2 linked regions of the Saccharomyces cerevisiae S288C genome follow. Changing the gene in region 2 together with the main gene of any one other region gives a genetic interaction. Each region holds a gene or a part of one and is shown on either strand. Other genes may lie near its edges.

The links. A genetic interaction does not mean that the proteins touch.
Region 1: of PSA1 (region 2) and ALG2, extra expression of one rescues a mutant of the other (dosage rescue), as found in Saccharomyces cerevisiae (one study listed by BioGRID).

The regions. Positions count from the first base shown.
Region 1 is NC_001139.9:379,260-383,209, reverse strand, and holds ALG2 (GDP-Man:Man(1)GlcNAc(2)-PP-dolichol alpha-1,3-mannosyltransferase), read left to right. Parts: upstream 1-1,938; coding exon 1,939-3,450; downstream 3,451-3,950. Other genes in the region: MRH4 (ATP-dependent RNA helicase), read left to right, coding at 2-1,687; deubiquitination module subunit SGF73, read right to left, coding at 3,628-3,950. UniProt on the Saccharomyces cerevisiae protein: Mannosylates Man(2)GlcNAc(2)-dolichol diphosphate and Man(1)GlcNAc(2)-dolichol diphosphate to form Man(3)GlcNAc(2)-dolichol diphosphate.
Region 2 is NC_001136.10:354,993-358,932, reverse strand, and holds PSA1 (mannose-1-phosphate guanylyltransferase), read left to right. Parts: upstream 1-2,173; coding exon 2,174-3,259; downstream 3,260-3,940. Other genes in the region: transcription factor MBP1, read right to left, coding at 3,555-3,940. UniProt on the Saccharomyces cerevisiae protein: Involved in cell wall synthesis where it is required for glycosylation. Involved in cell cycle progression through cell-size checkpoint.

The DNA of each region.
Region 1 (3,950 bases), on a different chromosome or scaffold from region 2:
AATGTCGCTTTTTTTCAAGCCAGTAATTTCACCACAGTGGTCTTTCCCCGTGCTTCTCAAGATAGGAGTGCGTTCTTATGCGGGAGGCCCAAGAACAAAGCATAAAGGAAACTCTCCATTAGCTTCAGTGCCTACAGGCAGTAGTAATAAAAACCGAAAACAGAAGGCCAAAGGCAAAAAAGGTAACAAAAAGAATGACCCTGACCAAGCATTCAACTTTGGAGAGTATGGTGGATTGAAAAAAGACGTCGAGATGAATATGGACAGTACGAATAAACTCATTCAAAAAATATCGAATTTCGACCAATTGCTTATACTTCCACCTGTCAGAGACGCTGTGAAAGAAATCATTTCCAAAGAGTCCCTGAAGCTACAAGATAGTAGGAAAAAAACCAGTGAAAATATAATACCGAGTCCCATTCAAACAGTGGCCATTAAGAGAATATCCAAAAATTTAATGGATCCAAAGTTACAAATACATGCGATTGCCGCTGAGACAGGTTCAGGTAAGACCATGGCCTACTTGATACCTTTAATAGACTATTTGAAAAGACAGGAGTTGGAAACTCCCGAATTATGGGAAACATTAAGAAAAAACGTTCTGATTCGGTCCATCATACTGGTGCCTACGCATGAATTGGTTGACCAAGTATACGAAACTGTTTCCAAGACGAAAACCTTGTTAGGCTTAAACTCTTTCAAGTGGGACAAGGCCACATCATATCGTGATTTATTAGAGAACATTAAAAATAGAATAGATATTTTAGTCACTACTCCGGGAAAACTACTGAACCTGTTCTCCATAAGAATGATAACTAGACCTGATAAAGTCTTGTCCAAAGTGGGTTTCGTAGTACTAGATGAAGCTGACACACTTCTAGATAGGTCATGGCTTGAAGAAACGCACTCCGCAATAAAGAGAATTCCTAACATTAATCACCTTATTTTCTGTTCCGCTACTATTCCTCAAGAGTTTAATAAAACAATGCAAAGACTATTTCCTACAGTGGTTCCTATAATGACACCCAGACTGCATAAGTTACCATTCGCTTTGGACTTTAAAGTTATAAATTCTGCCTTAAGTCCTTTCAAGGGATCCAAGATCAAAGCATTGGCACAAACTTTATATGCTATTTCAAATGATGACACGGAACCAGGGTTCGAGAAAAGATGCATTATCTTTGTTAACGAAAAAAAGAATGTTCCTGAAATTGTTAACCTATTGAATAAGAAATTCGGTCATAATGCCATCGGTTTAACTGGTGAAGATACATTTGAAGAAAGATCCGAGAAAATTATGCCCTTTTTATCACCACCGCGACCACTTTCGGAGGTGGTTGCTCAGAGTACTTCACCTCCCACTTCCTTGAAGAAATTTGAAATTCCTGATTCCAACATCGTCATCGGCAAATTGAAAAACACAAATTCTAATGGTACCGCACCCAGTAACAAGTCTTTGCATGTACTCGTAACCACCGACCTCATGGCAAGAGGGCTCAATTTCAAAGGTGTACGGAATGTTGTTCTCTACGATGTACCCAAAACGTCAATAGACCTGATACACCGAGTGGGCAGAACTGCTAGAATGAAACAGGGCGGCCGCGTATTTATGCTAACTGACAGTAAAACAAAATCTTGGGCTAAAGCTCTTCCAAAGATCATCAAAAAGCACCAGAGATTATCATGATAAATGTATATTCTTGTAAATATTATAACATATATACGAAAGGGTCACAATCACAGATACAATTTATAGATCGAGAGCCTTGCGTATAGCTTCTTTTTTTATAAACAAGTGCCTGGCTAGATGAACGCGCGAACAACAAAATAAATGATGTATTCATTTTAACATCAAAAGATTACGTTCGCCATTTAAGAAGTCACGAAATAGATACAGTAGTAAAGACAGATAAAAAAGAGTCGATTAGACAAGCAAAAATGATTGAAAAGGATAAAAGAACGATTGCTTTTATTCATCCAGACCTAGGTATTGGGGGCGCTGAAAGGTTAGTCGTCGATGCAGCATTAGGTCTACAGCAACAAGGACATAGTGTAATCATCTATACTAGTCACTGTGATAAATCACATTGTTTCGAAGAAGTTAAAAACGGCCAATTAAAAGTCGAAGTTTATGGTGATTTTTTACCGACAAACTTTTTGGGTCGTTTTTTTATTGTTTTCGCAACAATTAGACAGCTTTATTTAGTTATTCAATTGATCCTACAGAAAAAAGTGAATGCGTACCAATTAATTATCATTGATCAACTGTCTACATGTATTCCGCTTCTGCATATCTTTAGTTCTGCCACTTTGATGTTTTATTGTCATTTCCCCGACCAATTATTGGCTCAAAGAGCTGGGCTATTGAAGAAAATATACAGACTACCATTTGACTTAATAGAACAGTTTTCCGTGAGTGCTGCCGATACTGTTGTGGTAAATTCAAATTTCACTAAGAATACGTTCCACCAAACGTTCAAGTATTTATCCAATGATCCAGACGTCATTTATCCATGCGTGGATTTATCAACAATCGAAATTGAAGATATTGACAAGAAATTTTTCAAAACAGTGTTTAACGAAGGCGATAGATTTTACCTAAGTATAAATCGTTTTGAGAAAAAAAAGGATGTTGCGCTGGCTATAAAGGCTTTTGCGTTATCTGAAGATCAAATCAATGACAACGTTAAGTTAGTTATTTGCGGTGGTTATGACGAGAGGGTTGCAGAAAATGTGGAGTACTTGAAGGAACTACAGTCTCTGGCCGATGAATACGAATTATCCCATACAACCATATACTACCAAGAAATAAAGCGCGTCTCCGATTTAGAGTCATTCAAAACCAATAATAGTAAAATTATATTTTTAACTTCCATTTCATCATCTCTGAAAGAATTACTGCTCGAAAGAACCGAAATGTTATTGTATACACCAGCATATGAGCACTTTGGTATTGTTCCTTTAGAAGCCATGAAATTAGGTAAGCCTGTACTAGCAGTAAACAATGGAGGTCCTTTGGAGACTATCAAATCTTACGTTGCTGGTGAAAATGAAAGTTCTGCCACTGGGTGGCTAAAACCTGCCGTCCCTATTCAATGGGCTACTGCAATTGATGAAAGCAGAAAGATCTTGCAGAACGGTTCTGTGAACTTTGAGAGGAATGGCCCGCTAAGAGTCAAGAAATACTTTTCTAGGGAAGCAATGACTCAGTCATTTGAAGAAAACGTCGAGAAAGTCATATGGAAAGAAAAAAAGTATTATCCTTGGGAAATATTCGGTATTTCATTCTCTAATTTTATTTTGCATATGGCATTTATAAAAATTCTACCCAATAATCCATGGCCCTTCCTATTTATGGCCACTTTTATGGTATTATATTTTAAGAACTACTTATGGGGAATTTACTGGGCATTTGTATTCGCTCTCTCCTACCCTTATGAAGAAATATAATGTCTACTTAAATAAATAATGTATACCCCCCGAAGAAAAAATAATTTACATTGGAGAAGAAATCTCTAAATGCAAATAGCGTAACTTGTCCACAAACATAGACGTGTACATGTTACTTCGGCGAATAATTTTTTATTACTCACTTCGTGAACATGCTGGATAACGTGCATGATTCAATTAATTTATTCTGCCATTGTAGGGGTTCACAGAATTTCCAATACCTACTTCAATTCTCCCGTTATTGCCAGAGACATTAATACCGGTAGATACACCTTGCCCGGAGCCATTGACGCTGTTGACACTAGGGGGAGATTGGATACTATTTACGCTAGTATTGGGAGAGCTTATGGAGGCTTTCATCGTCATGAGGTTATTGTTACCGTTTTTACTACTATTATTGTTGTGGGTGCCAGATAAATGGCTATCTTGATTTGATTCTTGCATTAATTTGGTAGCGTTGGCTAAATATGAAGCAGCAGCTTCAAACTTCTGTTGTTGTA
Region 2 (3,940 bases):
TATGACTTGGAACAAATGGCTAATCAATAATCACATATGTTCGACCGCTGCAGGAAAAGAGAAAAGAAAGCAGTTTCTACAAGCAAGAACTTGGAAATACAGACAAACCTCCAGTACTTTATTAGGATTGTCCATTCCTCACCCAGATATGTTAAATTCGATACCAATGTGTTTTGATTCACGCGCAGAAAGAAGGACTTTCCCTGCTCTGCTCGGCAAAAACATACACGTTGTCGACCGAGCACGACTGCCGTTGTCGAAGCCACCACTGTCACTTCTCGTTTAATATCTTTAATCGCATCATCTATAGTTCCTAATTCTGCATTCCTAACACTGTAGCCTATCCAGCAAAATCATTCCCATTTTCTCTTTATATGTGCCTAGATTTTAAAATTTTGCTTAAGATGATTTACATTGAGGGGGGAAACTTGCTTTATCCGCTCCTCCAATTGATTCAAGAAGTATGGGCGCTGACCTACCATCTCAATTTCTTGTTTCACTCGAGAATTGTCACTGAGATAGTAAATGTCTAGAGAATCCTTTGCAACAGGAGATTTCAAATTTATATTCTTTGTGTTCGCATTCGCTTCCCGTCTGTTACTCGTTCCCTTACCATTCTATTATGCATTGCAGATCTGCCAAGTAAAAAAAAAAATACCTTGGTGTACACACCACCCATACATTATCTGACAAGGAAACAAAAGTAATGACAGTAAATTGAAGAACTTGTGATGAGCCAAAAAGAAGAATGTGTGCACTTCTTTTCGTATTTTTATGGTAAAGCCAGTTGGTGGCTTTCTTTGACGATATGAAACCCAGGATCCCATGCTGCCTATGTTGCATTTATGTAATTGTCTGTATGAAGCTCGCATTTTAGAGTTACTACTATGTGCTTTCTATGCAGTTGCTTGCCGCAGCCAAGACGTAGAGATTTCTTAGACGTGCTTTTTATTTCTTATGAAAGTAAAGAGTGTGTATACAACGAACTATGTTAATAATTAGTAGTACCAGAACATTGACTTTCGTAAGGACCAAACGGCATCCCTATCTCGGAAGAACACCACATGATGCAAGTTCTCCTGCCTACGAATAGTTCGTCAGGTGCCAGCACTGAGACCACCCAAACTAAAGGCAATCGAAAACTATACCACGTTTATCGTTATGTTTCGGCGGCTCACCTTGTATCAACCTGCTTGGCAAGCTGCTCTGCGAGGCTCCATTTTTTTACATTTTCAAGAGGAGTACATTTCACCTTAAAAAACGGCACGGAGAAAGCCTAAACTTGGTTGCATATACGCAATTACAAATCTTTTATAACTACTTCTGATTCTGTGCACGACGTGCCACCCGGTACAGTTCAAAGGTCACTATACGCACTGTCGATCGAGCCAACCCAACCCACAGAACATCCTAAAGCTTCAAATCGAAACGCGTACAGTCAGCATTCTTCATGCTGCACCCGATCCTTCTTACCGCGTGCTGGGTGAAAAGCAAGACTAAGAGCAAGACCCTTGGATAACGGCACCAAATGGACTACTTTCGTCCTTTCCTGCAACTCTGACTATAGCTTTTTCTATCATTGCCTAAACCAAACCGTCCACGCCACCTCACCAGCAACGCACAGCATGAAGAACGCGAAAACAGAAAAAAAAAACGCCAAAAGAAACGGCCACCGTGTACTTGCTGGCCAGCTAGAAATGCCTCGGGAGCCACCACGTTTATTTTTATCTCAATCTCTGAAAAACTTTTTTTTCTTTGTTTTTGTCGTTTTTCAGCATGAACAGCGCAGCAATAAACAAACAAACAAACAAACAGACGAACAGACACAGAACCACAGCTGACCGGTAGTAAAGTAAGCTGGTGGTTTCTCGCTTTGTTTTCTTTTTTTCCTTGCCTCGTGGCGCTCTTGTAAACATATATATAGTAGACTTTTCACGTCATTGTTAGAAGTTTCACATAGTCTTGTTTTCTTTTCTCCAAAACTGTATTTTTTTTTTCTTTGTCTATCTTGTTCTCACCTCTTTGACTTTGATAACGTTCATCAAGTGTGCAAACTACTTTACATTCGCTAACTCTTTTCTTCTGTCCAAATATTTTGTTGACTATACAAACAAAATATTATCAGCACAAGACAAGCTACAACTTCAACAAATAAAACATATATAATTGAAAAATGAAAGGTTTAATTTTAGTCGGTGGTTACGGTACCAGATTGAGACCTTTAACTTTGACCGTTCCAAAGCCACTGGTTGAATTCGGTAATAGACCAATGATTTTACACCAAATCGAGGCTTTAGCCAACGCTGGTGTTACTGACATCGTTCTTGCTGTTAATTACAGACCAGAAGTCATGGTGGAAACTTTGAAGAAGTACGAAAAGGAATATGGTGTTAACATCACTTTCTCTGTAGAAACTGAACCATTAGGTACTGCAGGTCCATTGAAATTGGCTGAAGATGTTTTGAAGAAGGACAACTCTCCATTTTTCGTCCTAAACTCCGACGTCATTTGCGAATATCCATTCAAGGAATTGGCTGACTTCCACAAAGCTCACGGTGGTAAAGGTACCATTGTTGCTACCAAGGTCGACGAACCTTCTAAATACGGTGTCATTGTCCATGATATAGCTACTCCAAACTTGATTGACAGATTTGTTGAAAAGCCAAAGGAATTTGTTGGTAACAGAATTAACGCCGGTTTGTACATTTTAAACCCAGAAGTCATTGACTTGATTGAAATGAAGCCAACTTCAATTGAAAAGGAAACTTTCCCAATCTTGGTCGAAGAAAAACAACTATATTCCTTCGATTTGGAAGGTTTCTGGATGGATGTTGGTCAACCAAAGGACTTCTTGTCTGGTACCGTTCTTTACTTGAACTCTTTGGCCAAGAGACAACCAAAAAAATTGGCTACAGGTGCCAACATTGTTGGTAATGCCTTGATCGACCCAACCGCTAAGATTTCCTCCACTGCTAAGATTGGCCCAGACGTGGTTATCGGTCCTAATGTCACCATCGGTGATGGTGTTAGAATCACCAGATCTGTTGTTTTGTGCAACTCCACCATCAAGAACCACTCCTTGGTCAAATCTACCATCGTAGGCTGGAACTCTACCGTTGGTCAATGGTGTCGTTTGGAAGGTGTCACTGTCTTGGGTGACGACGTTGAAGTTAAGGACGAAATCTACATCAACGGTGGTAAAGTCTTACCTCATAAGTCTATCTCCGATAATGTTCCAAAGGAAGCTATTATTATGTGAGTTAGGAAAACGAACTGTAATGAATATAATCTATATCACTCATCTGTTTTTGTTAATTTTATTTTAGCCAATATCATTATAAAAAGAGGAAAACATGCACAGAAAAAGCACTGCTTACTGTTATGTCTTAGTTTGTAATTGAAAATGAAAAATAAAAAAAAAAAAGAAAATAAAGAAAAAAAGGTTGATCCTTATGTAACTTTTTATTTACGTAGAAGTTAATAAATATTATCTCATTGTTTTATCTATTTTTCAGTATATGGATACATGTAAAGTTCCTCTATTTATGTATATTTTATGCATGACTATTCGCGTTTGAGATTGTGATGATCTGTTCTGCGCCCTTATTTTTATTATTGTTGGCTATCAATGTCTGTAGTATTACATCCAGCGAACTATCTACTTCTTCAATATTCATTTCCGTACCTTCCCTGATAATCCGTCTATATTTATGAATCTTGGCATTGTCTTCAAATTTCTTCACCAAGGAACTCAATTTGTTTTTCCTTTGTAATTGCAACATCGTTAGTTCTTGAGCCAATTCCAACCTTTCCAGCGTATTATTATCTTTCTCAACTGTGTTATTGGTGGTAGCCTGAGTTTCATCTTCTATTAATTTGTTCAATAAAACCGTTTGCCTGTATTCCAGCTTTTGTTTTATCAACCGTTTGTATCGTATGA